3 linked regions of the Caenorhabditis elegans genome follow. The protein of the gene in region 2 interacts with the protein of the main gene of each other region in a pairwise test. Each region holds a gene or a part of one and is shown on either strand. Other genes may lie near its edges. The genes, in order: F17E9.5, magu-2 and emb-8.

Region 1 (10,943 bases), on a different chromosome or scaffold from region 2:
GCTGCAATTTCAATGATGCTTCAATTAGTTTCCGATATGATGCCCAAAGCCTCGCGTCTTCCATTACTAGGTAAATGAAGTCTAATTATTTTTATCCATCTATTATTTTAAATGTAGGCAACTATATTATTGCTGAAATTTTTGTGGTTACTGCAGCTACAATTGCTGCAATTGTTATTCAACATGTTCATCATCATGTTCACACAAATGCAACGTGCCCTCCAAAATGGTGAATATATGAATAATTAATTAATTATCTCTACTTTTTAATAGGTTACGATGTCTCGTACTATGTGATTGTATGAGGGAAGAATTCCCTTCTAAAACCAGTTCTGTATCCAGTATGGATGTTCCCGAGAACATCATTGCGCCTGTTTCTCTTCTGAAGTCGTCATTACATAAGGTAAACCACCATGATTTGAACATTAATTGATATATTTTAGACTGCGTTTCTTGTTCGTGACACTCTGCAAGAAATGTCTCGCATTAATGAAAATCAGTTGCTCTGGCTCAAAATTCTGGATAAAACTGATCTAATGTGTCTTATTCTGTTTCAAGTTGCCAATGTTGTAATAACAATTGTATATTGGAAATAAAAATCAAAAATAACTTTCAATAAATTTATATTTACCCGTTTAAAAAATTTGATCAATTCATAGGGATAGATAGTCCTAGTGGCAAAAATTGGGTACTTGTTTGACAGTAAATTAAAAAATATTTAAAACGTCTCTAAAGCACCCTCAAAACAAATGATCGGTTTTAGTGAAGAATAATTTATATTAACAACTTTCCTGCGCGAGAACATGGAATGTTTGGACTTTTTTAGAGTATTGTTTTCTGCGGGGTTGACAAATTTTCAAGAGTCCCTAGGCCTTCTACAGTGCCGGCCATAATTCTATCCAATTTTAGTTTTTTGACAATAACTTGTTTCAAAGTGATTCGTTTGAGTTGAAAATTCACTATAATATGAAAATGATCAAAACATAACTATTACTGCAAGAATTATAAAAAAAGCAAAATTTAAAAAAATTTCGGGGAATTTTCAAAAATTCGAAAAAGTGAAAATTATCTAAATTCTGAAAATAGGTTCTTTGTGAACTGGATCGGTTTTATCTGTCTACGAAACTGTCATTAAACTAGTAAATGAATCTTTGTGAATTTATTTTTGGCAATTAAAACTTAGGTGTCACGTGACAACAGACCATAAGCTTACCTGCAACTTGCAAGTGCTTGAAAATGGAAGAGTCTTTCTATTTTCAGTCATTGTGGCTATGAAATCAGTCTCATTCATTTTTAAATTAGGTTTTCTACATTGTTCAAGACTATTCTATTGATTTTGTATAATGTTTCTATCTATCTCGCTGGATATAAGCATCGCAGAGACACTCAGTGCTTACCAAGTATGTCAATTTTTGTCTTTGCCGCCTTGGTAAAGCTACCCTAACCCCCTTTTTTTCTAATGTGTGCAAAAAGTCAAGCAGTCAGAGTGAGGGATGGTAAAGCTATCGCACCTGCAGCAAACTAACTTCAAAATAAATTATGGTTTTATAAATTAGGGTAAATTAGGTTTTGGTTTTCTCAAATGTTTTTTTTCCGCAAACGTTATTGGATTTGGCCTATATATATTCTCCAGGCCAACTAGAAAGCATTCAGCTGGCTAAAAACACGCGGTTATCGGTATATTCATAATTGAACAAGGCTTCCCTCAAGTGACTAAAAAAGCTTGTTTAATTACATGAAACGGATGAACTAGAAATTCTTTAATTTCTTTTTCGATGACCGTGATGTTTTACTTTATTTCAAAAATAATTCCAAAAAACATCCAGAAACTTTTTTATAAAGGTTGTTTTTTCTCCGCTTCAACCTCGACCTTTCTTTATCTCCACGGTCAATCTGCCCTAGATCCGTCCGTATAAAAGATCGGAAAATGTGTAATTCAAATCAGTCTCTGCTCGAATCACCGATTCTCTACTCACTCGACTACTTCTCTGCAATGGATCAAATCCCACCGTACGAGTTCAATAAGTACGTGCTCTACGCTCGTGGTGCCGTCATCGTGTGTGCTTCATTTGAGGTTCGTTCTGTGCCGTTCGTGGTCCTCGGAGGACTGGTCCTGGTTTTTAAGGGCTGGCCTCTAAAGACTTGTCCTGGCTCTTGGTCTTTTGCCCGTTTTCCAGAATGTATAGAACATCATGAAATATTTGCAGCTCCTGATGGTTCTGTTCGGTTCCCTCGGCGATTGCAATTTCCTTGCCAAGCTATTCTACTTCATCTTCCTCGGTGGAGCAGTTGCCGTCTCATCGCACAACATTGCTCTCAACATTGATGGTCGCGAGGAGATCAACAAGGTTCTTACCTCGTCTGACAATGAAGTTCGTGGAAAGTCTGCCGCATTGGTTCTTGTCCCAGCTCTTGCTGGTATCTTCGTCTTCTTGTGTGTTTCTGGGCATGCATTCTTCTCACTTTTCGTGCTCATCCACGTGCTCGCCGCTGTTGGACAACTCGGAATTGAAGCTTATGAGTTCAAGAAGGGACAATCTGGAGCTCCAGCACAAGACCCAGCCGCCACTGCACCACCAGCCCAGGATCCAGTTGCAGCTCCACCAGCACAGTAGAAAGAATACTTGGGGGTTTTTGAAATAAAAGTTTTTACTTGCTCTTTTTGATCAGGAATGTAATCTGCAAATTCTGCTAGACTCGGTCGCCAAAAAACCTGGAAAAACTAAGTGCTCTTTTCTACTGTAGTTTCAGAAGAGTGAGCATCTTGTTGTAAGAGTAATATTTTGTTGTGGTTAGTCCGAAGAGAGGCTTCTGTGATTACTTAAAAACTATCGTAACTATCAACTTTTTGAGCAAATACTGGGTTATTGGAGTACTTTAGTATGATTGCTGTTCGTTTCGCTGGGTTATTTCAAGGATTCTCGCAAACTGGAATAATTCAAACACTTTCTAAATGCTCAATAATCTTTATTATTAGTTCCAACTCCAACAAGAGAAACATTCATTTTCTTCCCCATCCAAGTGGAGTCGGTGGACGATAGATGGTATGTCTTGCATTTGCAGATGGGATGAAATTGAATGAACTTGGCTGAGGAGCTCTTCTAGCTGGGTTGAACAGTGATGGTAGAATTTGATTAGTTGGAATGAATTGCTGTAAAGTATTATACGTTTCTTTTGCTTGAAAGTTTGAAATCAGCCTACCGCGGAAACCGAGAAAATGGCGAAAGCAAGGAAGATGCAGGCGGTGAACAGTTGCATTATGAGATGCGCTTTTTGGACTTCACCGAAAAATGGTAAATTTATATGAAAACATTTACGAGCTCCCTCCGATTGTAGTGTTCAAAAACATAACAGGTTTCATAAAATATTCTGACCCCTCCGACAATCGAGAAAACTCTAAACATTTTAACTACACCCCTTTGATTTTTTTGAGAAGAAATCAAATTTTGCAGTGGTTTTTTCGGAGGGACCTCATCAAACTGGGAATATAAAAGAACGCGTTTTGTGTAGTATCATTAGCAAAGTCTTTGAAAATGCAAATATTCAATGCCTATATCTTCCTTGTCTTCACAATTTGCTCAGTTTCTGCGGTAAGTTTTAAATGATCAAACTCAAATAATATTATATTATTCAATCAGCAATTCTATCCATGGTCAATGGCTTTTCAACCAGTTGATCACATTGAACCATCAATCTTCAATCCAATTCCACAAGCTCCAGAGCCAAATTTGTTCAATTTCATTCCATCTGCAGTTGCACAGCATACTATCTGTGCATACTATATATCAATCGTCCACCAACTCCACTTGGTTGGGGAAGAAAATAAATGTCTCTCTTGATGAAATATATAATAAACATATTCAAGCATTCAGAAAGTCTTTATTTTATTGCACACTCCCCCTAATGTAACAAGTTTAAACCGTTTTACAGTTGTTTTCATCCTATTACGACATTGTTAATACATTTTTTAACATTATAAACTGGAATTTCTGACATGTGTAGTGTTCGTAAGTGTAAGTGTTCAATAAGTAATCACAATTAAAAGTATCTACGAGCAAGATTTCAAAATTATCAAAAACTTTGAATATTATGTTTATATTTCTTGTACGTTCTTTCTAAACTCTGTGCCTATTGGTCGGCCCAAAACAAATCGTTAAAAAAACAGATGAACACTTGGATAATATAGTTTCAATTGCGAGTCCCTGATGAACCTGTGACTCAAAGTGAAGTTCCTCGCAATCTGCTGACACTCTGAAAAGGGTCGCGGGTCGATCCATGTTTACGCCTAACAAGTTAGAAAGCTACAATTTTTGCGAATCCCATCCAATCATGCAATCTCTGCCTTTGTTTTGTTTTGTTGTCAATGTTCTTGAAATGTGATTTTCTGAAATGTTGTGGAAATCATCATGTGAACGCATCATTTTATTTTCCAATCTCAGTCATCTTTTCCCCGTATAAAAGATTCTTCTAAAGTTTTGTTTCTACATCATATACAAAATGACGGGATTCTCAAGTGTATTCCTAAGCATTCTTTTTTGTATTTTCTTCCCATACGTTGTCTATTCGGCCAGTTCTACAAAATTCAATTTCTCTGGAACAATCACATGTAATGCCACCATGAAAGATTCATTTGTCGAGAAGCTGCAAGTATGGGAACATGATAAAGCGTTAGTTTGAATATAAATTTTTATGAAAATCTATTGAAAATATGTCAGAACACCAAATGATATGATAGGAGAGGTAGCACAATTTATTAAAGACAAATCTGGTTTCTTTTATAAAGTTGACGCAGAAGACAATGGGGATGGACTATTTGATGTAGGTATTGTTGTGATTCTAAAATTTTGCTGTGACTTATAGGAGGAGTAACGGTTGAGATGATTTGGAACGTAATTAATGGAATTTTAATTAATTTCAAAGTACCCACATGTTTTGTCTATGTGTTCAAAATACTCAGAACTGTTACATGTTCTTTAAAACCAATTTTAATTGTGTCGTTTCAGAATGATTATGAAATTTACTTCACTATCTATCACAATTGTACAGAAAAACGAACTGGAGATGATGTGACTGTTTATGTTAAGGATTTCCTTGTGATTGATGGGTAATTCTTGCTTGTTTTCAGTATTTTACAGAAGAACTACCGTTCCAGAGCCTACAATCACACAATGGATATCAATTTGAGTGACTTGACAAAACACTAAAGGAAAAACTAAATATGTGTTAATAGATTGACTGAAAATATTAGCATCTATGTTTAATAAAACAATTTTGTTACCCATATTTTCTACAATCAGCCAAATAACCTTTCGGCCATCATTCCGAAAACCTGAAATGCTCGGAAACTGTCCTTTCGACCGAAAACAGGCCAAGCAGATACTGTAGTAGAATATCAAGTAGTTGAAAAACGTTTGGAAGTTTGGAATACTTTCAATTTTATTAAATAAATATTAAAATTCGTTGCCTTTTACATTTCCTTTTTTTCGGATTTTCCTGTTTTCGGCCGAAAGGACATTTTCCGAGCATTTCAGGTTTTCGGGGCAAATACTCATTGACTCCAAAATCATTGACTACCTGTGCTCATTGCCTTCCTGTTCTCATTGCCTACTCTTTCTCATTGCCTACCCTTTGCTCATTGTCTACTCGTTTTCTTCATCAGTCAAGAGGCACGTACAAGGACCGTATTCCAAGAATACATCAAAGATACATCTACTCAATTTGTTCATTCATTCAAAGGGTATATATATTTACAATCTTTCAATCTGTACACAACATTTCGGGCAACAATTAATAGTAGATGTCATGTTTTAATTTATATTAATTTTGATAGGACACGCAAAGGCTGGGCAACATTCATTATCCATCAACATTAATAGCAACAATAGCAACAAAAAAACAATTAAAAATTTGAAATAAAAAGTCTGGAGTTGATAGTGGCTTTCGATCTAAAAATGAAATAACCTCCAAAACTCTCTAAACTGAGTATTTTCAAACTGGCGTATCTCAAAAAATACACATCTGGATAACAAACGTCCAACTAACAAAATGATCAGAAATATTTTTTCTTTCTAATTCAATAGTTTTTATTTCAATACACCAACTTTTTGTAGAGTTACACGGAGTCAAAGCCATTTTACCAATTTTCAAAAAAATTTTAAGAAGTCTTTTGTTGTACCCTTTATAACTCAACTTTCATTAATTTTCAGAAGATAAATTTTGTTGAATAGTGAGTGAAAAATATTTTTCCACATTTTACCAGTTTCAAGTTTTCGGATATTTTCATGTTTCGCCAAGTTACAGACCGTTTTTCAAAAAAAATCCAATTTCGCTTATAAAAATCTTCATATTCAACGTATCGACTTGAAATTTTGAGAAATGATCACTTTTTTGATGTCTCTACAATGTCCTAAAAAATCTTTCAAAAAACACTGTCCATCTCCAAAATCGTCCTTCGCTCCGAAAAATGAAATCGGACTTTTGCTTTTCGAGAAATGTGCGAAAAAATCAAAGTGGCTTAGTGGCTGTGGGTCGATCTAAAAATGAAATAACCTCCAAAACTCTCTAAACTGAGTATTTTCAAACTGGCGTATCTCAAAAAAAAACCAACTTTTTGTAGAGTTACACGGAGTCAAAGCCATTTTATCAAAATTCACAAAAAATTTTAAGAAGTCTTTTGTTGTACCCTTTATAACTCAACTTTTATTGAATTTCAGAAGATAAATTTTCTTGAATAGTGAGTGAAAAATAATTTTCCACATTTTACCTTATAAAAATCTTCATATTCAACGTATCGACTTGAAATTTTGAGAAATGATCACTTTTTTGATGTCTCTACAATGTCCTAAAAAATCTTTCAAAAAACACTGTCCATCTCCAAAATCGTCCTTCGCTCCGAAAAATGAAATCGGACTTTTGCTTTTCGAGAAATGTGCGAAAAAATCAAATTGCGATTTTTGGGTCGAAAAAAATATTTTTAGAAAGCTGAGACCACGCTATTTACGAATTTCATGTTTATTTTGAGTGATTTCTTCTCTTAAACGACCTAAAAACTAAACAAAAATAACATAATTTTTATTCTCACGTGTAATTATTTGGTAATTTGCTCAGTGTTTCAATTGTTTTAATGCAAATTTAAAAAATTTCACGTGAGAATAAAAATTATGTTATTTTTGTTTAACTTTTAGGTCGTTTAAGAGAAGAAATCACTCAAAATAAACATGAAAATAGCGTGTTCTAAGCTTTCTAAAAATATTTTTTTCGACCCAAAAATCGCAATTTGATTTTTTCGCACATTTCTCGAAAAGCAAAAGTCCGATTTCATTTTTCGGAGCGAAGGACGATTTTGGAGATGGACAGTGTTTTTTGAAAGATTTTTTAGGACATTGTAGAGACATCAAAAAAGTGATCATTTCTCAAAATTTCAAGTCGATACGTTGAATATGAAGATTTTTATAAGCGAAATTGGATTTTTTTTGAAAAACGGTCTGTAACTTGGCGAAACATGAAAATATCCGAAAACTTGAAACTGGTAAAATGTGGAAAAATATTTTTCACTCACTATTCAACAAAATTTATCTTCTGAAAATTAATGAAAGTTGAGTTATAAAGGGTACAACAAAAGACTTCTTAAAATTTTTTTGAAAATTGGTAAAATGGCTTTGACTCCGTGTAACTCTACAAAAAGTTGGTGTATTGAAATAAAAACTATTGAATTAGAAAGAAAAAATATTTCTGATCATTTTGTTAGTTGGACGTTTGTTATCCAGATGTGTATTTTTTGAGATACGCCAGTTTGAAAATACTCAGTTTAGAGAGTTTTGGAGGTTATTTCATTTTTAGATCGAAAGCCACTATCAACTCCAGACTTTTTATTTCAAATTTTTAATTGTTTTTTTGTTGCTATTGTTGCTATTAATGTTGATGGATAATGAATGTTGCCCAGCCTTTGCGTGTCCTATCAAAATTAATATAAATTAAAACATGACATCTACTATTAATTGTTGCCCGAAATGTTGTGTACAGATTGAAAGATTGTAAATATATATATACCCTTTGAATGAATGAACAAATTGAGTAGATGTATCTTTGATGTATTCTTGGAATACGGTCCTTGTACGTGCCTCTTGACTGATGAAGAAAACGAGTAGACAATGAGCAAAGGGTAGGCAATGAGAAAGAGTAGGCAATGAGAAAAGGTAGTCAACGAGCAACAAGTAGGCAATGAGAACAGGAAGGCAATGAGAACAGGTAGTCAATGATTTTGGAGTCAATGAGTATTTGCCGGTTTTCGGATTGATGGCCTCTCTGATTTGACTATGGGGATCTTCTAGGTCAAAGATTGATCATTAAAAATCGCTCCGCGTTGGAAATCATCTTGATTCGATTTGTGCTTCAATTTTTTCTATAAAACCTGAGATAATTTCCAATTTTCCTTCATTCATCATCAAAATGGTTCGAATTTTTTCCACTTCATTCTGTATTCTCTTTCTCATACTTTTCCCGGTTGCTAATTCAGTTCTAACTAAATTCCGATTCAATGGATCTTTCACGTGCTCCCACAAGGTGGCTCCGTTTGTTCAGAAAGTACAAGTTTTCGAACATGACTATCTGTAAGGTAACTAAACAATTTCAACAAATGCTTATAGTAACCATTTTAGAACGTTTAGTGATAAATTAGGAGAGTTTAACGTCTTCCGAACGGTTGCTCCAAATTGTATGAAATATCAATTTAATTTTGAAGAAGACGGTGATGGAAAACCGGATGTAGGTTTTTAAAAATAGTTACTACAGTACATCCGATTTACAGGATGGATTCTATGAAATTTATATGAAGATTTGGAACACTTGTATGATTCCTACAAAATTCAATTCCAAGAAAATTTCATCTTACTGGTTCAAAACGAAACTACCAGTCATTGATGGGTATACAATTTTATTTTCATTTAGTAATCATAAAATCGGATGAATTTCAGAATAATCTATGCCACCGAGAACGTCAATTTGGATAAATTTTCGATTAATTGAACTACGGTTTCTAAAAATAAATAAACGTTTTGAAGTCAAATATACAAATTATACAATACAAGACAGTGAAAATACTAGTCACCAGCCTATACTTCTATTTTATACTGCAGACAGGGACATGTAAAGCGCTGGGGATCCGTTCACGAGAATTCGAGAAGTCTCCTACTATTTAGGCCTGTGGAAAACTGTCCTGAAAAAATATGCATGCCCTCATACCTTACCGAATCTTATCTTACCAAAAAAATATCGTGGTTGTCATCTGAAGCATAACGGGAAAAAGAAAGACCTGTTTAATGTCAAGTACATTCTTTACAAGTTTCAGAAAAGTCCCATTAAAAATTGTGTTGGAAATAGTCATTGGATACAAAAAATGACTACATATAATTTCGTACATTTCAGTTCAAAATCGGAAAATCATTGGACAATTGTAACAATACAATTTTTTTCCAAACAATACTCTAAAAAATATACCTGACATTGCTCTCTTCCATGATTCCAGTCACTCCTAAACTTTTCCTCACGAGGAATTGAACATGCGTAATAAATTTGCCTCATATTTTTGTTGAAAATTGACTCCTTGCTAAAGCTAGCTGATAGATAGATGTGACAATGCATCAAAAATTACACCGCCCACGTTGGAGCCATCCTTATTCGATTTGTGCGCCGATTTTTTTTCTACATAAACTTACATAATTTGATATTTTCTTCTATTGATATTTGAAATGCTGACAATATTTAGAGGCTTCCTGTGTATTCTCTTTTTCATACTCTTCCCAGTCGCTGAATCAGTTCTCACCAAGTTCCATTTCAATGGATCTTTCACGTGCTCCAAGAAAGTTGCTCCATTTGTTCAGAAAGTGGACATTTTCGAACATGACCTGATGTAAGTTAACTAAAACTTTCCAACAAATGCTTATAATAACCATTTTTAGCACGTTCAATGATAAATTAGGAGAGTTTCGAACGGATTCCTTCCAAACGGTTGCTCCAAATAGTATGAACTACCAATTTCTTTTTGAAGATGACGGAGATGGATCATCGGATGTAAGTTCTCTGGAATAGTCGTTACGATATGTATGTACAACAAAATTATAGGATGGATTTTATGAAATCTTCATGTGCATTTGGAACACCTGTATGATTCCTACATGATTTGTTCACAACAGAGTTTCGAAATACGTTTTCAAAACAAAACTGCCAGTCATTGATGGGTATATTTTTACAAAGTAATCATAGAACAGTCTGAATTTCAGAACACTCTATGCCACGGAGGACGTCGATTTGGATAACATTTGAATAATTGAATTATAACTTTTAAATATAAATTGTTATGTTGAAGTGAAACACATATTAGAATAGTTTAAATATTTCATTCAATTTCGAAAATCCTAGTCACCAATCTTTACAAAAACCTATGGATTACCATAAGGTGATGTGATCGCTACGTGTACCTGAAAGAAACCAAGAAAAATGTGCTCTATTCTATATATTCTTTCATTCAAGCTTCAGAAAAGTTCGATTAGAATATTGTCTTGGAAATAGTTCTTGGTTGCAAAAATAAATGTTTCTGTAATTTCGCAAATTTCAGTTGGAAATCAAGAAATCGGCAAAATTCGAGAGAAATTTCAAGTATGTTCTATCAAGTAATAATCTGCTCGTTTTTGTGGCTCGAGTCATGTCTGAAATTAATCGCGTTAAAAAAGTGTACATGCTTACTAAACTCACCACGTGACCATGTAAAACAATGCACCATGACAGTGGGCGACACGTGGGATGTAGGCCTTCCACGAAGGTATCCTCATCGTCTTTTGCTTCGACGACGCTTTCGAAAAGTTTCACAATTCTGAAAAATCAAAACAAAACCGTCTCCTCCACGTTGAAACCATCCTAATTCGATTTGTGCTGTGATTTTTTCTACA
Region 2 (11,386 bases):
CTCTTTGTTTCAAACTCACTGTTGTCTAAACGAGGAACTAGGAATTAATCCTGCCAATGAATGTTGAATATCTTCTCCATCTCTATATGCTTGCCACCAGTTATCATCTTTTGTGTTTAACACGTGTAGAATATCTCCTCTTTGAAATTTCATTGCCAACTCTTTACAAGGTACATACACGTCATCTTCTGGATCGTAATCAAAAAGGGCTCGAAGATGTTGGACATGCTGTTGAGACTTCTTTGCTGTGACAGTATTTGTAGCCGTATCAGTTGGTTGTTCGGTGTCTTGTTCTTCTTTTGGTGCAACTACAAAAGTAATTGGCCCCGAAAGATTTCGAAGGATGTCACAGATCTCGTTCACTTGCTTTCCTTTCAATGAAGATCCATTCAATTCAAGTAGTTCATCACCTTCTTGGAATAAGTTCATCTTTTCTACAATTCCTCCTTTCACAACTCTTCCGACTATTATTTTATTATTTTCATTTCGAACCGTTGCGCCAAGATAACTATCCTCATCCTTCACAACTTCAACTACTTTAACATTTGGAGCATTTCTTGGAGATACAGAAGATGAAGATGATGTTGATGGGCATCTCTCTGATTTTCCATTCCCATTCATTATAACTGGTGGGATGGGGGAAGATGTACACGACGAAGAATCACCGCCAGAATCGGTTCCAATTCCAGATGATGTTGTTCCGCATTTCCCGTTCTGCTTAACTGTTTGTTCAATAGCAGCTTGAATTGGTGGAGCTGCGAAGAAATCTCGAAGCATTGCGACGTCACTTTCGCGCCCTTGCATTGAAGAGAGCTTTGATGCAATTCGTTCAACAGATATAATTACTTCGTCAAGCTCTGAAAATATAATCTTGATAAATTTTGTTTCTGTAAAAGAAAAAAAAACTAATTTTGAGAATATTGATTTTTGAGTGTGTTTAAAGTTCTAGCATTCCAGAATGTTTTAGTTCTGCTGTACTCAGCCAAAAATTAATTTGATTTTAAAGATCAGAAAAATGCTTCTCTCACAATCATTTGTCAAAAATAAATTACTCACGCCTAGAATCCTTATTTTCCTCGTCAATAAGAACTTCTGAACTTTCTAGAACTTCCTCTCCAACAGTTATCCTTGTTGCTCCATTTTCCGTCTTTCTCGATGGAGTTTCTTCAACTTCAGCGAGTGGATTAGCAAATGACGTCACTTTCATGGGTTCATCTAAATAAAACAAAAATCAAACACTCAAAGGCAATTTATCAAAAATCAACTCACTAGTAAGTGGATCTACATTTCGTGCCAGAGCTTGAAGCTTCTTGGATTTTCGCAATGAACTTCTCAAAAATGTATTTTCTTGTTCTTTCCTTTTCTTTTCTTGCATTTCAAATTGTTCAGGTGGACGACGGAGAGATCCTCTTTCGATCCCAAATCCATTTGTGTGAACTGAACCCCGTGGAGCAACTGATGGTGGTCCAGATGTTGCAGCAATGTACTCCATGTCATATGTGTGAATTTCGGGGTATTCTCTGCAAAACGATTTTGAATTAGTACTAGCAATAATTATGATTCATTGGGCAACGGTACGACAACAGCAAAACACCTTTGAAACGAAGAGTGTGAATGCAACAAAACTCACAATCACTAGAGTTGATAACATGCGTAGGAGGATGTGAAATATGCGATAAGAAATAGAAACATGGAAATATGGAATAACAGATGATTCAGAACTATCAGTATTTGCATAACCTCGAAACTTAGAAATAAGTGTATTTCTGGGTTTATTAAAAACACATCTTTCTAAAATTTCTTGATCTTGCAAAAATAATCAGAAATTTAAACAATGGTGACGTATGTATTGTCACGCCAGAGCAACCACTCCGTGCCAACTAATTAATTGAATATAAATTGGGGTTTTAATGTATAAGAGAGGCAGACATATGAAAGTCAACTGGCAAATGCTTACAATGACATCAAAAGAAATCGAAAAATGGCAACAAACAAACGAATACGTGTCAAATATTTTCAAAAGGGTTACTTATAAGTTATGGTTTTTTTCCATATTTCAAACAAAAGGTGAAAAAATATTGTGCGGATGATTGGGCGTATGAGTCAATAATTCAAATAAAGTGAAGTATTTCTAGGACTGTTATTGAAAAAGGCATTCGGTTATTGAAAAATCGACACCAGGGCATAGTTAATTTCTAGCTGCAAATTTTGAGCGCCAAAAAGAATATGCAGGTAACTTTTTATAAAATTTTTCTAATACGAAACTTTCACCTATGCTCCCACTTTTAGTGAACTGACCTTTTCCCAGAATGATATGAATTTTATGAGGTTTCATAAAACCATCAAAAAGACCGTTCTCTCATCATCATCATTGGGAGTTTAGTTGTCGGGAAATCAAAGGAGACCACCGTTAAACCTTCTCTCTCTCACCCACACTCGGCTAGTTTTGACCGATAAGCATCTCAATCGGTTTGGGTCGGGGGCTAATGTGAACGTTGTTTCTTCAGTTGTTCAGTCTCAAACCCGAACACCTGCCGGTCCGGAAGCGTGAAGCCTATTGACGACACCTGCTTTTTCTCCTTTTTTGGTACAAGCTTTGTCGGGCAGAGATGATGGATTTGATCTATATTTGATGGGGGAATAGGTCCAGGTATATATGAAAAGGATGACAATAACAATGAATGATGATGTGTTCGTGTCGGAATGATGGGTCGGTGGAATGATGGGATGGAACGATGGGTGGAAAGGCACGGAAAAAAAAACGCACCCACCACCACGAAACCCACCAACGGAAGTAAAAAACGAAAGAATAAGGGAAAATGAAAAGAGATGGGATTATGTGTGTATTTTCTCTATTTTGTATGTATCTCTTTTCTATCCAACTGGTTATTTTCAATATTTTTGGTGAAAATGTGAAAATGAAATAAATACATCGACTGTCAAAAAGAGAGTATTATACCTCGGTATTGTGACCTTTTTGCACATTGTATTGTCAATAAAGGTGAAGAGGAGGTAGAGAAAAAGAGTGCCCGTGCATATATGTATGCCAATTATCCTGACAATCAGGGCGTTTCACGATATGGCAGGCAAAGAGCGGGAAAAGGGGATTGGGGAGTCTAATTAGACAAGGTTATATACTCTGTGGATAGGTGAGGTAAAGGATGCGGATTATTAATGAGGTATGACAGAGGATATATGACTACATAGGTTCTAATTAAGAATACGTTAGATATTTTCTCAAACTTCAGTCTAAAAAATCTATAGTTTGATATTAGTACGGGTGTATATTTAAATATAATGTCCCAACGATCTGTTTTTAAATTGAACAGCAAGTTGCAAATATATGTAAAAGATACCAAAAGCTATTATATAATCTGACATCTAAAAAACAACAAAAAATCCAAAACCTAAATATTTGCTCCACACCATTTTTCCCGTTCGCTAAAGTTCGAATGTTCTCAGATTTCAAAAGAGATCAATAAATTAGTTTTTGTATCGGAGTGCTTCTCACTAACATGTTTATTGGAATAAAATACAAAAAAGTAAAGTCTCATTTTTCCAACAAGAGCTGACGTATTTTAAACCAAACGAAATATAAATTGTTAAATCCCAAGTTATATTTATTGAATGCATTCCACTTATGGAGTGAATCTAATTAGAGGCTCAATTCATTTTCAAAAGAGTGGTCTAATAAGAAAAAAAAAAATGTAGTTGAGTTTCAATTTTTTGAAAATCAAAAAGTTTAAAAGTAAAATTTGAGGAGAACCCAGACTTTGTAAAAAATCAAAACTGAATGTTTGCAGTTTGGATTGAAAAATTGACATACTCGGTTTTGTGACTAAACAACTTGACACGTACTTATTATTATTACGAAGTGTGGTAAGAGGTGTTACCAAAACAATTTGAAGAACATTCGATCATAATGTTGGTTTTGATTTTCTCTTCCAAAAATCATTATGAAGATGAAAATGTGGAAAACCATGCTGGTCACCCAACATCAACCAAATCTAGTCCTAGAATAATTCCCCATTCAGCCTGACTCTCTTCATGACAATTGTATACAAAGTGGTGCAGGTTGAGGGAAAAGAGGAAGGTGAGAGTGAGTGAGGGTCGAAACAATAGACGGTATTGTAGTTGTTCACACACAGTCCGTATTGCATCTTCATCATCTTTCGTGCGCGCTTCTTCTACTTTTATGTTTGCTCATCACCAGCTTTACATTTGAGGTCCCGTTTGCGCATCCCTTCCTATTGGGGAAAAGATGTATACAAATACATATTTATGAAAACCACGATTTAGAAGGTGGTGGCTATGATGTATAAATATTTTTAAGCAATGATGAGACATATCGGGAAAGTAGCAAAACACTAAGAAAATGAAAGGTTCTAAAAATGAATATTACATATAGTAGCTGAAAAAATAATTTTTGAATCAACAATATTTAAATTATACAGACTAATTTCTAGAATTCGAACCCAATATATTTCCAAAAATTGCAAATTATTCCTATACTCCTTGAAATTTTCGAAACATTAGAAAAGTAATAAAATATCTTCTGCTCCACTGATAATGATAACTTAAAATAATTTGCCACTTGATAACAAATATAAAAGCAAAATTTTGTTAAAGTCGCGATAACTGTGTCCATCACCAAACAGTTAACCGATCCACAACTACACAAAAACCGTACCGTCCTCAAAAATTTATGATGCATGAAATTTGCACAATGATGACAAAAAGAGGAACGGTTAGGGTTGAATGGAAAAAAAGAAAGTGTAAACGGATTCAATAATTATTTGTTAAATTTTTGGGTTTGGAAAGAACGGTGCAATTGACAATTGTCGACAAGGAAAAGTGAGGAGACGAATGGAAAGCAATAAATGGTTTATGTCAATAAATAACAATGTGTGTCTAATGTGTTGGAGTTTGATGTATTCGTTATGACCTTTCACCCATTTTTGGAAAGGTATTCCCCCGAAAATAAAATTCTGTGACTCTTTGTAATTTGAGAGAACGGCAGTCGTTGCTCCTTATTCAATTTTTGACGATTGAATTAAAGTTTTGCAGAACATTTCCTTTGAAAAAGTGTGTTGAAATTTTAGCTGCAGCTGTATAAAATCTTTTTCTGATAGTTTCAGTCGTGCTAAAAGGGTGCTAAAAGTCATTGCTTTTCAAAACATACAAGAATCAATAAATTGAAAGTAACATGTTATTCCAAAGCTAGGCAAGAGTTTAGCTAACTGTGAACATACAAAAAATCTCAAAAGCGTAGTAAATTGTAATAAAGAACTGTAACGTTCTGAAACCCTAACAACCTGCAATTATCACAAGTCAGACAACCTTCGAAACGAAGAGAACACAGAATTTGAGTGATGATAGTTTTTTGATAAATAGTGTAATGAGACAGAAACATTTAAAAAGTTGATGAAAGAATAAGAAAAAAGGAATGAGAAAGAGAGAATGAGTGTGATAAGCGCAATGGGAGGTTCTATTACTTGAAAATGCCACTGACTGTGAAATAGAATATCAGGGAGACATAAAAAAGAATCGCCAGGTTGACTGATTAATCACTAGATTTATTGATATATTTGACGACGGAACTCTCCGTTTTTTCTCTTTTTTTTTCTCCATTTTTTGTCTTCACCTTGACAGATTATTGGTTTGTGACATACTAGACGTGCCGACTAACTGTGTGAAATACTAGAATGTGACCTATATAGTTGTGAAGACTGGACGAACGAGAATTCCAAATTAGCTCACATTCATAATCTCAGTGTTTTTGTGTTTCCCTGCCCGTCAGAAAGTTTCGAGGCCATTAATTAATTTCTAGAAAGCAGGTCGACGAGTGAACAACAAAGATTTTAAAGAAAATGAAGAGAGATGAATTTTTTAAGTGAAATGAAATAAATATGAGAACTTTTCAAGAACATTGATTTGCCAAAAACCAAATCTTAGTGGTATTTGCACTATTTGTCATATATTCACTGTTTATGCATATACCATAAATAGAGAGCACTTAAGAACTCTTCTTTCCGTTCTTTACACGTTCCGCTTCTCACAGATAGTATCGCAGAGAAGAAAATCTCTCTCAAAAAAAGATTACTCACTTTTTCAGCCGTTTAGTAACTTCCTTGATATGATCCTTATCCACGGAAACTAGATATGCATCCGTTATCATACGATTCGAATTTGTGCCTGAAATTAAACAAAAACTAAGTATTAAAAAGGAAAAAGTATAAACTTTTTTTTACTCACAGTTAAAAACAGAAGCTTCATTTTCTGCTGGAATTTCTAATGCACGACGTCTAACTTTCAGCTGAATGATTTTTCGACGAATACACTGAAATTTGAAATTTTGCAAGAAAGTATCATAAATTTTATCAAACTTCTTGAATATAAGTTGTGACTTCCTCATAACTTTTTCCTTCTATTTTCATGTCATTTACCCCAACGATTTCATCTCCAATGCTCAATCCTGCTCTTTCCGCAGCAGTTCCTGTAATGGAAATCGATTATTTTTTCAGAAGTCTGCATAAAATTTGTAAAGCACTTTATATCTGATTTCCAGACACCTTGAAAAAAGCGAAAAAAATTGCGATATAGGTTAAAAAAACGCCCACTTTGCCGATGCCATCAACGATTTGGAGAATCGCATTAGTACAAATGTTCGTTGACAAAATTTCAGTAAAAATTCATCAAAATTGCAAATTATTTCAATAAAAATACTTCAAAATGTTTTTATAAATTAGTCAAATAAAATTATCTTTTACTTACCGTACAGCCGAACAACCTTCTCTTCTCGTTCAACCAAAATTACAAAACCACTCAACGGCGTCGAAGTGCTCACAACGGTCTTCTTATTTCCAACACCACGTGCACTGCTCAACCGTCTCAAGGATGTCCTTTTCAAGTCGGACAGTGCCTGTGGTATCGACACCGACTTGGACATTTGATACTCGAGCCACTAGATGAAGGCTGAAAATTTTTTGGGAATATTATTTCCAACGAAAGCGAAAATAAGAAAATGAGAATCCAAATTTCTGAAAATAAAGCAATAACTGAATCGGAATGGAATTTATGAGTAGGTGAAATGAAAAAAGTTGTTTTGAAATCTCGTGGTTTTCATTTTGAATGATGAATGCTAGGATTCCGGGATCTGCTCAAAACTTGGATCTAAAAATAATCATAAACTTGAAACAAATGAATAGAAATGTCAGAATCACTCGAAAAACTGCTACTTCATGTAAGCGTTGTTGCGTGAATAATTGAGACAGAAAAAGAACCGAGAAGAAGAGTTGTGATGAGTGCACTTTCTTAGTTAATTGCTTTTTTTCTTTTCTTCTGCAATTGTTTTTTGTGTTTCAAGAGCTTAAAGAGGAATGGGGGATAAGAACTAAAAGACTTGAAGCGCTTTTGATGAGATGGACTTTTTGGGGTAAATTGGAAAAAGACCGACAAAAATGGGAATAGTTGAAGAGAAAATTCAAAATAACAAAAAAAGGGAGCTGTGTATAAGGGGTACTGTATGTCTTAAAGTTGAGAACAGAGGTTATGGACAAAAAAATAATCTTAAAGTTATCTGAGAAAGTTACGGTATCATAGAACATATTTGCCAGATAACAAATTTCTAAATTGTTGCCAAATTAAAAATGCAATCTTAATTATTGACTCACGAAAAGCACAATTAAAAGACTCCACATATCAATACAATATTTTTATCTGTAGTGACATTTTCTAGATTGATAAAAACAGCTACTTTAAAGATTTTGAAAGTAAATTTTAAGTTTTTCCTTTGAATTTCAAAAATACACTTCTAAAATTAGGCATATCAGTGAAAGTTTGCGTATTTCAAGGAAAACAGTAAGTGCAGCTGTCAAGCATGCTGCAAGCAATTAAAATTACACACACTCTCTAAGAATTCATAAAATTGTCTTGTCACGTTTGTTCAATCAAAAAAGATGAGGTCTTCAAAGTATCCATGAGCTCAAGACACACGGAATGAAGCACTAAATAATAGCTTTTCCCGGGGATAAAAAATTGAACGAGACAGATGAAAACAGTGGTCCAGATTGATGATATTGACATTCATTCCACTAGTTCAGTGTGACAGGGAGATGGATAGATTGGGAATGAAAACTGGATGAGAGAGCTTGAGATTTAGAGTGACAAATAATTATGGGGGATCCTCTTGAGAGAATCGCACCGAAACTATGTGCATCGTGTCCGGCAGAGGGAAACTAAAAAAAAAGATTTTTGACGCCATTGGTGTGTCTTCTGTGTCTTTTTCCACAGAGTCTCGAGTATAAAAAGTGAGAACGAAGAAGATACAGATAGTCGAGGATGGGGCAAAGAGAGAAAGGAAGATGGCGGTGTGGGTGGGAGAGCACAAGAAGGTCCAGTCTGGGGACAGAAAGAAGCACATGGAGCAAGAAAGAGAAAAGGAGATGGTGAATTGTGACATTCGACCCGCAGGGATTTGAAGAGACGCAGGCCGCATAGAAAGAACAAGCTATAAGATAGAGAATAGCCAGCTGATTAGTGCTGATTTCATTGATCAGCTCATCTATCTTCAACATGTCGTCTTGTAATTTTCTCTGAGACAAATTACGCCGATCTTCTATTGTGACTCTCGTAGCTTTGAAAAAAAACCAAGACAAATAACACTACTATTATGGTTAAAGTTCGTAACTTAAAAAAAAAAAACTTTTTTCACCCGCCTCTCGGATCTCAGTCATTTTTAGGCTAGTTTCGAGTTTGATGGGCATATTTTATTTTGTATAGAATGCAAAAAACAAATATGGATTTTGAGAATAAGTTGTGAGAAGATATTGTGAAAAACATAAACGTCCATCGTTGATAATCTTCACAAAACGTTTGTCGAGAAACTATGATTTTATGCGGAAATTATGCAAACAGTTTTTTGAAATTCTAAAACATATTAAAATTTCAAAATATAACCATTTAAACTAAATAGGAAAACTAATTCGCTTAATCAATTTTGAAAAAATTTTGAACCGTACGCATTTTGTTCAATCTCTAGAGAACTAGCGACACTTTTAAAAACTTACCGAATTTCTTGTATTTCTCTTGAAATACTTTTGGTTTAAAATTTTGTGTGGAAAATACTTTGAGATTGTAAGGATTTTATGTTTGAAAATAATAACGTTCATAGAATGTATATGAGTCAATGGAAGAAAACTTTTTTACAGTATCAAAATTTATAGTCAACCTGCTGCAATTTTATATTCAGCAAGTTTTACAGGAAGTCAAAATAGCAATAAGAAAGTCAAACTCAAACAAAAGTGTTTTTACATAAATGAAATATTCACATGAAAATTATTTTTGGCAGTTATCCTAGAGAAATTGCATAGATTAGATTAAATTAAGAAAAGTAAAGTCAACGAGACCTTCAAATAACTTTCCTCCGCCGTCAAAGCGTGTTTAACTGGCATTCGAGAACAAATCTAGATAGATATGATCTCCTTTTCTGTGGAACCAACCATCTCCCTTTCTCACTTTTCTTCACTCGTTCATCAACGTCGCCGTGAGAAACGTTTCCAATTTCCGGCTTTTTGGTTTTTAGAAGTATGGCTTTAGAGATCTCCACACTTCTATTTTTCTGATTCCAAACACTTTCAAAAATGAGCGAAGAAATTTGGAGAAAAGAACCAAAAAGAAGGGAATTGAAGGGGTTCCTAGAAGTCCCAAACGAGTGGTTTTAGAAAACGAAAAGCAGCTGATGAGAGGCCCCGTGTGCGTACTCACACTTTCATTCAAAAAAAAAGGAAAATAGTGCTCAAAGAGTTGCCAGCTGGTTATAAAGTTGACGGATTTGGAAAAGAGTTGTTGGAACGGCGTTTGCAAAGAAAAACGGACATTTGGTGGAGAAATGGCACGCAATAACAAACAAAATAAAGACGACTTTTGAATGTTTGTGAATAGAAGCAAAAAAGGATCAATTGGTTTGTTTTTTCCTCAAACGTTTTTACATGATTTGAAAAATTGAAAAAGAGTCAACTTTTAAAACAATTTGTGTTAAAGAGCAAAATTTGTGGAGAATCTCTTCGGGTAAACCTCCAACAATAAAATAATTCCAGTAGATTCTGTTTTCAAATTCTTAGGTTCCATAAATTATTTTTACCGTAATCACATGACACAACTTTGAAACAAATGGAAAACTATACACTTTGCAACGATTTGCCTCAATTCGATTTCCGTTCCCATAACAGTATTGCTTCTCGAACCGTAATTCAATTATAATCATAAGTTTTTTTTTAGTTTTTTCCACATTTCCGCCCACATAAAACACAGATACACCTCCATTTGTATTCAATATGCGGTTCCAATTCAATCTTCTTCTACTCTCTATTGTTCTATTTTCGCTTTTCACTGTTCCAGTGGATGCTTGCCGTAAAAGGAACAGAAAAGCTCAGTGTGAGACACTTTTGGATTGTGAGCAGTTTTCAAATGGATTCAGAAAAGTTTATTGCGTCGACGGAGTTTGTAACTACGCGAGAAAGTTTCGAAGAGTTTCGTTCATAATATGATTTTATTGTCAAAAGCTTGAATGAACAGTTTGATATATGTTTTCTTTTACCTTCAACCTAGCGTTTTTTTTAATTAGATTCATGATTAAACAAATAGGATTAACAAAAAAAATTGTTTTCACTCTAAAAATTTTAGAACATTTTTTAGGATAGTCATTAAATTATTATTATTATAAACCTTATTTACTCCGTGTTTTGAATAGTCTTACAACCCTTATTGTTCTATTAGTCAGTTTTTGATTTTCTTGCTTTCTTGCAAAACAAGTTAAATTATTATCAAAACCTTTATTATATCTTTACGTATAGTTGTTGAAACACTTAAAATAGAGATAAAAGCTGCTATAGCAGGGTGCAACACTAATAGGAACTGCAATTTATGTGTTTTTTCCCAAAATATTCTAGATTCAAAGTAAATACATAATTTTCAGTCAAAAAGTTTGGAATTTAAAAATTGCACTAAATTCATTGTAATACTAAAATATAGACTATGTAATAAAAATGACCAAGCAATTTTTACAATTTCTTTATTGCTTTTTTTAAATGAATTTAGTGTAAATCTAGATGATCAATTGAGTGTACATTCCCAGATAACTCATTCTCCTCCTCTCTTCAGATGCTTTGAAGGTCCAACGTTTTTGTTTCAATGTGATTATCGCCACAAATAATGGGAAACAGCGAGAAACTCCATCTTTTCTTTTTCCCTCGTGAGTTGTTAGCTAATTCGATTTGTTTTTGAAAAGAAGAGCACAATTACTGTGTGGGTTGAATCTATAATAGCCGCGTCTGGCCAGTGATCACAAGGAGTACTATTTGTTTAAAGAAATTTATTCAATAGATCT
Region 3 (11,386 bases), on a different chromosome or scaffold from region 2:
ATTTTTTTTCTCTGTTTTGGGTTGAAAAGAGCTGGGCGATTGGGTGGGAGGTTATCACAGAAAAATGGGAAAAGGGGGAAATGCAATATTTTGTCTAAATCACAGAAAAATTACTGAAAAATTTTAAAAAAACTGAACAAAAATGAAATTTGAAAATTATGACCACACATCAGCTTGGTATCTTTTTGTCTTCTCCATATCTTTGAAGTAGGCGACAGCTTCCGTTTCAGATTTTCCTCCGATTTCTCTGAAAATCTTCTGAAGTGTTGCCTGAACGTCACGAGCCATGTTGCGGGCGTCTCCACAAATGTAGACGTGAGCTCCAACGTTAATAGCATCCCAGATACGATCACGAGTCTCCCACAAGCGATCTTGCACGTAGATCTAAAAATATCTTATTTAAAAGTCAATGAAACACGGTATCCTACCTTATGTTCCTGAGCTCTGGAGAAAGCGCAAACCAAGTGTGTGAGCACTTCGTCTTCTTGGAACTTTGCCAACTCATCTTTGTAGATGTAATCATGATCTGGATGACGGCATCCATAATACAAATGCATTGCTCCGATTTCCTTTCCGGCATTTTTGTGGAATTGACGATCTTGGAGGAATCCACGGAATGGAGCGAATCCTGTTCCGGGACCAATCATAATGACTTGAGTTGTGGTACGGTGGGGAAGACGCATTGTTGATTTACGAACGAAAACTGGAGATTTCGATCCGGCGTCCTGAAATTATTTGGATTTTTTTTTGGAAAAAGAAAGTGTGATAGTGAGAGTTTTTTGAGTGAGAGTACAGTGAGAGTTTTTTGAAATTTTGTTTTAAAAAATACAAAAATGAACCGTGATGGCCAAATATAACTGTTTAAAAATGTAATAAATTTTTCTAAATTTTTTTGAAATGGTTTTTCAATTTTGCAAATTGAAAAAAGAGATAATTATTTTTGAATTCCCGCGCAAATGCATCGTCCGGTTATGACATTTTTCTTAAAGTAAACTTGTATACATTTAAGATTTTTTTGCGAAAAAATGTCTGAAAATTTTACAAACTGTGCTTTAAATTGAAATTAGCCAGAAAATGCAAAAATGCCAAAACAGGGTGATTCATTTGCTAGGGAATTCGAAAATAGCTATTTTTCTTATTTGCAAAATTGATAAAATTATGAAAAAATTTGAAAAAGTTATATTCGATCATTACGGTTCATTTTCTATCATGTGCAAAAAAATTTACCTTGGTGGTCAAATATCTTGTACAAACTCCATTGATATCACGATCACCAATAGAATATTTAGTGACAACTGCACAAATTGCAATCTTTTCCTCATTTAATCTCGGAGATGAAGCAATACTGTAGTAACGGGCTTGAAGACGTGGAAGAAGTTCAAGAAGATACTCAATTGGTGGTTTACATGTCTTTTGATCAGTCAATACATCGACAATTGAACGACGCTCTTTGACAATGTATCTGGCGTACTCTTTCTGAAAAAAATTCAATTACTTCAAAATTAAAATTTAAAAAAACTCACCAAGCCCTCCTCATTGGCAGTTGATAACTTATTAAGGAATTCCTTTTCAGTATCATCCGTACAATATTCACTGATTGCTTTGAGCACATGAGATTTGACTGGAGCACAAATATCAACATAATGAGAAAGAGCAGTTCGGAATGTGGTTGGGCATGGGAATGGATGACGTTTTGATGCATCTTCATCAACGTTCACAAGACGGAATGCGTGATCAGGATCGAATTGAAGCATATTAATGAGACGATCAACAAGAACTGGATCATTTGTTGGGAAGACAGCCAGATGATCTCCTGCTTCATAACGAATACGGGATCCTTCAACAGAGAACTCAATATGTCTACAACTACGATCAGAATGTTCGGTATGAAGTTCATCATTGATCGCAACAGTAGCCAAATATGGATTTTTGACATCAAATGGTGGACGTGGACGTTCATAAGCTCCAAGTCGTCCAAATTCTCCCTTGAAAAGAGCTTTTCCTTCTTCAACTGGTTCCAATTGATATTGTCTCATTGTCTCGGCCTCTGTGTTCAACTCCCATCCAAATTCTTCAGCAACTTTTGGCAAGAAAGCTTCTCTCCAAATCATAAAATCTTCTTCAAGATTAGCATCATCATCTCCTAATCCCAAATGAAAGATTCTCTTGGCTCCAAGTTTTTCAAGTTGTTTGTCCATTTGAATTCCAATCTCATTAAAATGTTCATAAGTCTTATTTCCAAGTCCAAAAACTGCAAATCGAACACCCGACAGATCACAGTCTCCAGCATTCAAATATTCAACAAGTGTCACTGCATTATCAGTTGGATCTCCTTCTCCATATGTGGCAATGCATAGTACCAAAAGAGCATCCTCAACTTCACTCAAACGATTCAAATCTTCACATTCAATATCTTCTGGATCAACGACAACAGCCTTCTTGGTGTAACGAGTAAGATCTTTAGCAAGACGTCCAGACATTTCTTCAGCTGTTCCAGTTTGAGATCCGTACATGATAAGCACCTGAAATTAGAGAATTTTGATTCTATTTTCTTTAAAATTCCATATCAATTTACCTGTCGGTTCTCATTTTTCATTCGATCAATGAATGATTGATTCGATTTCGAAGCCGCAGCTGACGTGGTGACCGATGCTACGGTTGGCGAGTATCTGAAATTTTAATTTCAAATGTAAAAAAAATAATTTTCTGCATTTATTTTTAAAGTACCTGCTAGACGATGGTTGCTGATTGAAAACCTTCATGAAAAGGAATATAATTGCTCCACCAGCGAGCAGAGTGAGCACCACAAGGTCTGATGTGTCGAGACCCGACACAATCCACGCCAGCATGTTTAGAATGAGAGTTTCTGAAATTAAAGAATTATTTGAAAAGGAAGAGGGAGATATTGAAAAAGTAAATAAATAAGAAGTTATAGTTTAAACATGTTTTAAAATATTGCCGCTGAATTTTGCGATGTTTGCGCCGAGAAAATGACAAGTTTTTGTTAAATGCGCGTGCGCCTTTAAAAAGTACTGTAATTTCAAACTTTCGTTAATGTTGAATTTTAATTGATTTTCCATAGTTTTTTAAGTTTAATTTTATGTGATTTTTATTGTTTTCATGCATTTCTTTATTTTTTCAATAAATAAATAGTTTTTAAACAAAAATGTGTTTTTTTTCTGTTTTCAGGTGATTTCAGGTACTTAGAAAAATCCCGAATCAAACGAAAACAGAGGAAAACTCTGAAAAATTGATTGAAATGGCGCAGAAACGTTAGTTCGAAACTACAGTACACTTTGAAGGTGCACACCTTTTTGTATTTATCAAAAATTTGGCGTGTTGAGACTGGGTCCAGTGTTTTTGGCGCAAAAACCACAAGTTTGTCGCACTAAAATATATGTATTTTGAGAAATATCTGAATTTCTATCATATAACTGTAATAAATAATTTTTTACAAAAACAATTTCAACTAAAAACTTAATTTGAGATACGATTATCGTATAGCAAATTCAGTGAGTCTTTTTTCAAAAAAAAATGTACAGTCAATTTGTGTGAATGAATGGGAACATTAGACATATTGTTCTGTCTGTCCCCTTAATTTGGTCTTACAGTTAAAGAAAAAGAAGAAAAAACAAAAGCTACAGAAGAAAAATCGAATTAAGGGAGGGAGGTATATTGAAATAAACAAAGATACGCCGTGAGGAAAAGTTATTAGTGAAAAGAAAGTTGTATTTGCCAAGAAGGTGAGTATTTTATAGAAGCAGATAGTCAGAGAGTTTGCATCATTTTTTGAGGTTTGTGATCGACACACATAAAATATGATTTGGTGGTCGAAGAAAGATACTTCGAGAACACAAAATTTGTCAGACTTTGTATTGACACGTAGACTAGAGTACTGTTTAGCCAAAATTATCTTCTGAAAACAAAACTTCTAAAAACTATGTAATCTTAAAAAATTTCAGACATTTTGCAAGTACAGTAGGAAAATGCTTAAACAAAACTAAAACAAGGAGTCAGGAAAAATTGAAACAAAAAAAAACTGCGGCACAATATCTGATATAACCCAAGTAATTTTACGGCACAAATACAGTACCCAAGGTCTCGACACGACGAATGTTTGTTAAATATGAAAACACGTGCGCCGTTAAGGAGTACTGTAATTTCAAATTTTAGTTGTTGTTGAATTTTCATAATTTTCATCTCGCTATGTTGAAATTTGAGTTTTTAAAATAAATATATCTATTTTTTATCGAAAAACTTCGAAAAATTGTGGGAAATTCCGCAACAATGAAAATTTGAAGATACAGTACTCTTTCAAGGAGCACGACTTTCTACATTTTACAAAATTTGTTGTGTCGAGACCGGGAGCAATATTTCTGAAAATTAAATATTACTTGGTCACAAAAGAGAGTCAACTTTTGTAATAGAAATAAAATAAAATTGGTTATTTCCACTATTACAAGACTTTCAGAAATAATTAGTCGCCAAACGATTGTTTCAGTCAAAAATAATTTCCTAATTTGAATTAAACGTCAATTCAAGTCATGCGATGAAATAAATGACTGGTGAATAACTGTTGAAATTCAAAGATTGTCTGGTTAGGTTTAATCATTGATAAGAATTGAATTGAGAATTAGAGAAGAAAAGAAATTGCGAATTTTGTTTTTAAGTTGATAAGTCAAATAGATATGGACTGATTACACCGTCAAGCATTTTCTGTAGTTTATGTCACTTTTATCACATTTTGACAAAATTGGATGTTGTGTACGAAAACCACACGCAAAGTACGGTTTTATCAAACGAAAATGCGTTTTCTACAAAATTTGAAGTTCAAATGGAAAATCATAATTGTTTGCACGTAGTTTTCAATCAAAATATATCGTCACACTTGAGTTAAAAATTGAATTAGGCCCGATACAATGAACGGTCAGTCATCGAAGTCGACGTACATAGGGGCGCAGACAACACACACATTGAAGACGTGGAGGATTTCATTTTTTCCGGTTTTAATACAAGGAAGAGAATAAGAAAGGCAACAGGTGCCACTTTTAATTGGAAATCAAAAGGTTATGCGGAAGTCTGAAGAAAATCGAAAAATGTTTGATTTAAAAAAAACATCTCAGAGCATGATTGTAGAGCATAGAGTTGGTTGCCTAGGTTTCCATCTCAAAGAATAGGCTGTGATTGCAGGTGACCTGGCTACAGTGTACCCTTTATATTATCAAGAAGGATATCTCGGGGTTTTATTTTTTCTATGTTTGATGTCAGAGAAAGAATATCGAAAACATTATAGCGTCCTCATTAACGAAATTATCGGGAGGGTTTTTTTTTGATAAATGGAGAAGCGACATTTGGATAATTTGTTATATTATACTCGAAATAGTCCCAAAAGTTTCGAAAAAATTTTTTTTGTGAATTTCTGTATATGTGAAAAAAATCTATGAAATGTCACGAGATGAATGACAAAAAATTGCAAAATAAATATGAAAATAACCGAATATTTAAGTAATAATTTGCGACCGCTGCGACACGGAAAAGTTGGGAAAACTGGAAATTATTGCTGAAATCAGGTTTTTTTTTCGAAACTTTTGAACAGCCATGAAACTTTTGAGAATTCTTTGAAAAGTTTCGTGAAATTTGGATTTTAAGGGCATTTAGGGTATAATGAAGCAAAACAATTTTGATCGAAACAAATAAATTTAAAGAGACGAAGTTCAGGGGAAACATCTATAAATCGTGGAAAGAGAAGAAAACGAATATCCATTAATAAAAGTAGGTCAAATTGAACATCGAAAAGAAGAAACAGAGAGAGAGAGAGAGAGAGATCGTCTAGAATAAATCAACTACAAATGAAATCTTTCTTTTAAGCAATTCAAGCCTTAACAGTCACATTAACTATACACGAAGTTCCCCTAATACGACTATGATAGAGATAGAGAGAGAGAGAGAGGAAACAATTGAGAGGGAGTAACAGCCCACAAAAATCGCTTGTTCTTTTCTTCTTTCTCTTTCTTGTCTCTCTCTCTCTTCTCGTTCTGTTTCTCTACCTATCTCTCTTCAGTTCATGTGTTATCTATAATTGTTTTTCTCGTGAACAACTACCTCTATTGGCTACACTTGATCTCAAAGTGTGGTCTATGTTCTAGCCATTTTTGTACGTGTAGTTTTTGAAACCGATAGAAATGTGGAAAACAATTATGGCGAGTTTTGTTGGGGGAAACCGAAATTTCTATTTGAACAAAAACTTTTTGAAGATTCAAGACGTGGAATAGAACAAAAATGTCTAATTTATGTATCAAATTTGCAAGAAGATCGTGCAAAATACTCGAAATTCGGCGTTGTTCTCGAAGAGTCTTCCCCGATTCTCAAAAGATCGGTATCGGAAAATAAGTCGAATGATTTGAAGAAAAGATAAATTCGGTCTATTTCCATGAATATTATGCATGTGAAAAGAAAAATCGGGTTTTTATACGATTTTTTGAACTTGTACAAGATTTTGTTGGTGAAAATCGGATTAAAACATCGAACTAGAAACATTCAACCGAAAATGATTAATTTTGAATTAAATTTGTGATCATCGTCTAGAAAATTCTAAAAGTTAAAAAAGAGAACTAAACTACAAACCACGGATCAAAATGACTGTGTTCTGCTTGTGGTTTATGCTTACAAACACGTAGAGAAAAAATACAAATATTTTCAAAGTGATGGAGGCAACAAAGATAACAGTATGTTTTGATCATACGGAAGTAAAAATAGAAGATCAACAGATTCTTCACTGTAATTTCTGAAAATTGGTGTTTCAGCCTTAATTTGACTACTGGAAGTTCGAATTGAAATACATAGATGGATATATTTCTTTGCAGAAAAAACAACTCGATTGAAAAAAATTCATATTCTTACAAAAAAAAACATTCATACGTTCTTACTGAAGAGACAAAAAAAAAAAAGTAACCCATAATTGAAAAGAGAATTAGAAGAACGATAATAAATAAATGGGGTCGGGAAATGAGGTCGGGAACGATAATAAATAAATGAGGTCGGGAACGATAATAAATAAATGAGGTAAAAACGATAATGAAAAAAGAGAAAGCTAAAAATCTCTGAAAAGATTATAAATGAACATGCTATAATTGTACAAGTACGTCCTTCTGGGAAAACAGGGCGAGCTGGAATATTATTTTTTCTTTCCTTTGATTTGGTGCTCAATATTTTTCAGTTTCTCCTCGACAGTTCCAGAAGCAGGCTGAAATTTCAAAAGTTTCAACGATAAAAAAAAGATAAATAAAGCTTACAATCTTGAAATTATGTGTCGGGTTCCTCTTGAGATGATCAAGAACTGATCCAATCTGACGCATAATAGCTTGCTGTGCGTCTACGATTCTCTGATTGTTTTTGAAGTTTCGTCGTGAGGTTTGCTCCACAATGTTCGTCGGGTCAAAGTCTCGTTGACCGTTCTTTGGAAGAGGTTGTTCTCCATGAGCGGTCAGAAACTGGTTGAGCATTTCTTCTAGCCATTTCTCCCGAGTCATTTTCTGAAAAATATACACAGATTTTGTGATGCAAATATTTGAAAAAACTCACAGGTGCTCTCACAACAGCCTTTCCTTTGACTTTTGACTTTTTTGGCGCAGTAGCGTATCTTTCTTCGTTCTCAGAGTCTGAGTCATCATCTGATTGATCTCTTCTATTTCTTCTCGAAACTCTTTCAATTGGTCTTTTAGCACGTTGGCGCGGTGCTCTGATCGTCAGTGCCTCTTGCGACTCATCCGATTCTTCTCCCATAATCATATCCAATTGTGAACTTGGCGCAGTTCCAGCTCTACGAGAAATTTCGGAAACTGCGGGTGAGATTGCTCTTCCAGTACTGTGCCTGCGTTGGACTTCTGCGATATGACTGTCATGCGCATTGTTTGGAATGGGTTCCATCTTGACAGATGTTGTTGAGAATGATTCTCCCAATCTGTGACCACCAGTGGATGAATGAATTCTTTCGTGACTTTCTATCTTCGCGACGTTCAATAGACGAGACGAAGAAGAACAGGATGATGCCGAGCGAATAGAATTTTGAGAGTCGGACGATGATGGTGCTGAATTAGTCAACCGTTTCTGTGGTAGGATATGATCATATTTTTCCGGTAGTTTACTGAAGTCGTTATCTTCGGCGACAATGGTGCGACAACCATGATGGTTTACGTTTTCGCAGCAGAAGAAATCATCATTCGAGCCGACTATTTCATTCGGACGAGATGCTTTGATCCAGGTTCGGCACATTTCTAAAAAAAAACAGTAAATTAGTTTAATTATAAAACGAAAAAACTCACGACACAGCTTCCAAATCCCACACGTCGTCCACATCACCTGATCCCTCGCGCTGTCGTGAGTTTGAACACATGTCGTTGAGGTGGTATTATTGTATCCATAAACGCCCCATAGCACCGCCCAAACGTCATCGCCCTCGTAAATTCTCACGTTCCAGGTATTTTTCAGATGTGTTGGAATCCAACTCTTCTCCAAATACATGGAATAGTCGCGTAGAGCATCGTTGCACTTTCTAACGAGCACTTGGAAATCCTTCACATGATCGAAGCCTTGTTTGTTTTGTGCCGCACTGAACAACGAATAATCCAGACTCAGGAACATTGAAATACCGATGCTGTTCGCGAATTTACTAAAGAACTTGGCTTCCTTGTTTCCCCATAAAATCAATCGATTGTTGATGTAGAAGTGGATACCATTGTTCGATCTGTCCTTGGTTTCAATTCCCATGTTGAGATGGAATGATTTTTCACTCTTTCCTTCTTTCTTGAATGCATCTCGATCGGCAATGGCCGAATCCAAATTCTTCTGACTGGTGTCAACACGAAGCCGCAAACTTTTCTGATTGGCGCGATCCTCCCTTCGGACAGACGTGTAATTCGTGCCACCAATTTCCGACATCACCAAAGCCTTCTCTTCTTCGCCTGAAACAAATTACAGTTATATTCTTTGGGTGTCAATGACTCACATTTCTTGACTGTCTCATTCTTTTCATCAAGAATCTTGTTGTAGGCGGCTGTGAACTGATCACCACTAATTAGTTGTTGCTTCTTCGCAATCCAGTTTTCAGAAATCCTTTTCGGCAGAACTTGTTCTCCGCGGACATGAATCTGAAAATAGATTTTCAGAATTAAATGTTACAATTTTCGTAAAAAGCTGAGATAACGAGAGAGAATTTTACTTACCCTCATTCTAGGCTTGAGATAAATGAACTCCAAATATTTTCGAAGAGACTCGCGCCAAGGCTTGTTTTCCTCGCCTGAATCGACAATAATGTCAGTCGGATCCTTCGTCGTGTTGATTGCCAGTTCTCCAGTCACACTTCTTCTCAGATTGCCAATGATGATGATCGTTCCCGTACTTCCAGTGATTTTATCGGCCAATTCAGCAAGAGTTCTGGATCCAAGTGGAGCATATTTACCGATAATCTTCATTTCAAGATTGAAACGATCTTTTTCGCTTTCGGTTTGACAAATTGGAATACCATCCAAGTCGAAAGAAGGGCACGGCACAAACACCGAATTCGTCAGTCCTTGGTCTTCATGGAAGCGATGAGAAATGAGGAGAGCTGTTATAATTCCGTCTTTCTTCGTTACCAGTAACAGTTCACGTCCCAAATGAAATGCTCCAGATTTGAGTCCGTTGCCATATCGGCCGATTTTGTAAGAACATTTTGCTGAGTGTCCAAACGTGATGGCGTGAAGTGCCTCTTCGCGAGCCATGCCCAGTCCATCATCACGAAGTTCAAGAAACTGTTCATTATTGATGTCCACTGTAAATATAAACATTTTCTCTCTACTGAAATTAACAATTCAAAACTTACGAAAATCGATGTGAAGATCTCTCGCATCTGCGTCATACGCATTATCCACTAGCTCTGCTATTGCCGACAAGGGACCAATGTGGGTGTGACTGAAATTTTTATGGGTATTGATTTTGAATGTGTTTTAGAAAGATTAAAATTTACCTGTTGCTTTTCAGGAAGTTGAGGTTCACTGAAGCTTTTTCCAGCTTTTTGTAGTCATCCCCATTAGTGTCATTGGGCATCATTATTTTCGTAAATGCTGAAATATATTTAAATCAATCATTTTTGGATAATAGTCCTTGAAGAAAAGGGTGATCGACGGAGAAAAAGGTAAACTTGAGAAAAGGTTAAAGACATTGAAAAATAGAGGCCCGAACAGAGGACAAATGGAATTTTGTGGGCCATTCGAAACACTTTAGGCCAATGCAGCATATATCCGGTATTAAAAAGCCATTATTTGCGCCCAAAAGAAAAAAATCGTGAAAGGAAAACACAACAACAACATTTTTCGAAATATCTCGCCCAAAAGCTCCGCGACGCGTGCTGCGGGCGGTCCGAAATGCGGCCTGGGTCTCGAAGCGACAAGTGTTACGGTAGTCAATTTCAAGGCTTTTGGCGGAAAGAGAAAGAAAAATTGGCTTTGGCGTTAATCAGTTGATTTTAAACGAATTTAGACGGAAGAAAATGACTAAATTATCAGAGGAATTCGAAGAGTAACATGATCCGAGTGAAAATGCGGCAACATAATGAATCCCTGCTCTAGAGTGATGTGCACGAGTTTTATATAGAGAACATTTTTAATTACAGATTAAGTAGTGGAAGAATTTTAAATTTGAATAAAACAAGGAAATATCTGCATTACGGAATCTAACCGGAATCTAAAATTAGAATTTCATTGATTGAACTAGAGAAATCAATAAAATACCCGGTTTATTCAAAAAATATAAATAAAACTACTGAAGTAAAAGAATTACAATTTAGTAACAATAATAAGAATCAGTACAAAAATAATGGCAACAGTGAGCATACAAATACAATGCATTTTTTTGTTTCCTTTTTGATATCGTTCCGCTTTGAAGACATCTTCAACTGCTTTCGACACACGAATCGAGGTCTGTTCAACATTATAGTCTATTCTGAAATTAAAATTTACTATAATTGACCTTAAAGCTTCGTTTTACCTATCAATGACGCTTCCTTGATCTACAATCATTTCTGATAAATCCTGGAAGAGTGTATTTAATTCTCTAATTGATGTGTTCACAGCCATCACTTCCTTTTCGCGCTCTCGAACTTCTCGATCGTTATTCATAAATTGTTGAAGCTGGGCCATTGATATTTCTGTAGATGGTGACACATCTAGCTCAGCCCAATTGGGAGCATCAATCAGTGGATCTGTTGTGATAAGGTAATTGTCCACGTTACGGGAACGATTCTGAAACAATTTTGATGTGCTGAATGAAACTTTTTCAAATCGCTTACCTGGATATCACTCAAATATTTCAGTTGTCTTCCTCTAAATTCATCGGTAATTTGGCTAAGTGT

Evidence for each region.
Region 1: the proteins of magu-2 (region 2) and F17E9.5 interact in a two-hybrid assay, tested with the Caenorhabditis elegans proteins (one large-scale study listed by BioGRID).
Region 3: the proteins of magu-2 (region 2) and emb-8 interact in a two-hybrid assay, tested with the Caenorhabditis elegans proteins (one large-scale study listed by BioGRID).

What each region holds. Positions count from the first base shown.
Region 1 is NC_003282.8:8,343,890-8,354,832, forward strand, and holds F17E9.5 (DUF7087 domain-containing protein), read left to right. Parts: upstream 1-1,928; 5' UTR 1,929-1,993; coding exon 1,994-2,074; intron 2,075-2,207; coding exon 2,208-2,615; 3' UTR 2,616-2,657; downstream 2,658-10,943. Other genes in the region: lgc-5 (Neurotransmitter-gated ion-channel ligand-binding domain-containing protein), read left to right, coding at 1-70, 118-229, 274-403, 444-596; F17E9.18 (Neuropeptide-Like Protein), read right to left, coding at 3,002-3,151, 3,202-3,258; F17E9.15 (uncharacterized protein), read left to right, coding at 3,534-3,590, 3,639-3,839; F17E9.4 (TransThyretin-Related family domain), read left to right, coding at 4,498-4,667, 4,716-4,818, 5,004-5,104, 5,153-5,204; F17E9.16 (TransThyretin-Related family domain), read left to right, coding at 8,449-8,609, 8,658-8,763, 8,807-8,922, 8,973-9,024.
Region 2 is NC_003283.11:8,794,048-8,805,433, forward strand, and holds the start of magu-2 (MAGUK p55 subfamily member 5), read right to left. Parts: upstream 6,982-11,386; 5' UTR 6,950-6,981; coding exon 6,775-6,949; intron 6,497-6,774; coding exon 6,387-6,496; intron 6,341-6,386; coding exon 6,256-6,340; intron 6,196-6,255; coding exon 6,108-6,195; intron 2,882-6,107; exon of another isoform or gene 2,583-2,881; intron 2,511-2,582; exon of another isoform or gene 2,321-2,510; intron 1,521-2,320; coding exon 1,270-1,520; intron 1,216-1,269; coding exon 1,057-1,215; intron 858-1,056; coding exon 20-857; intron 1-19.
Region 3 is NC_003281.10:5,196,812-5,208,197, forward strand, and holds the start of emb-8 (NADPH--cytochrome P450 reductase), read right to left. Parts: upstream 2,867-11,386; 5' UTR 2,850-2,866; coding exon 2,728-2,849; intron 2,670-2,727; coding exon 2,576-2,669; intron 2,523-2,575; coding exon 1,524-2,522; intron 1,477-1,523; coding exon 1,228-1,476; intron 726-1,227; coding exon 429-725; intron 385-428; coding exon 157-384; 3' UTR 1-156. Other genes in the region: ATPase morc-1, read right to left, coding at 7,175-7,243, 7,293-7,532, 7,582-8,273, 8,322-8,960, 9,005-9,146, 9,222-9,808, 9,860-9,948, 10,004-10,083; syx-16 (t-SNARE coiled-coil homology domain-containing protein), read right to left, coding at 10,812-10,977, 11,023-11,276, 11,324-11,386.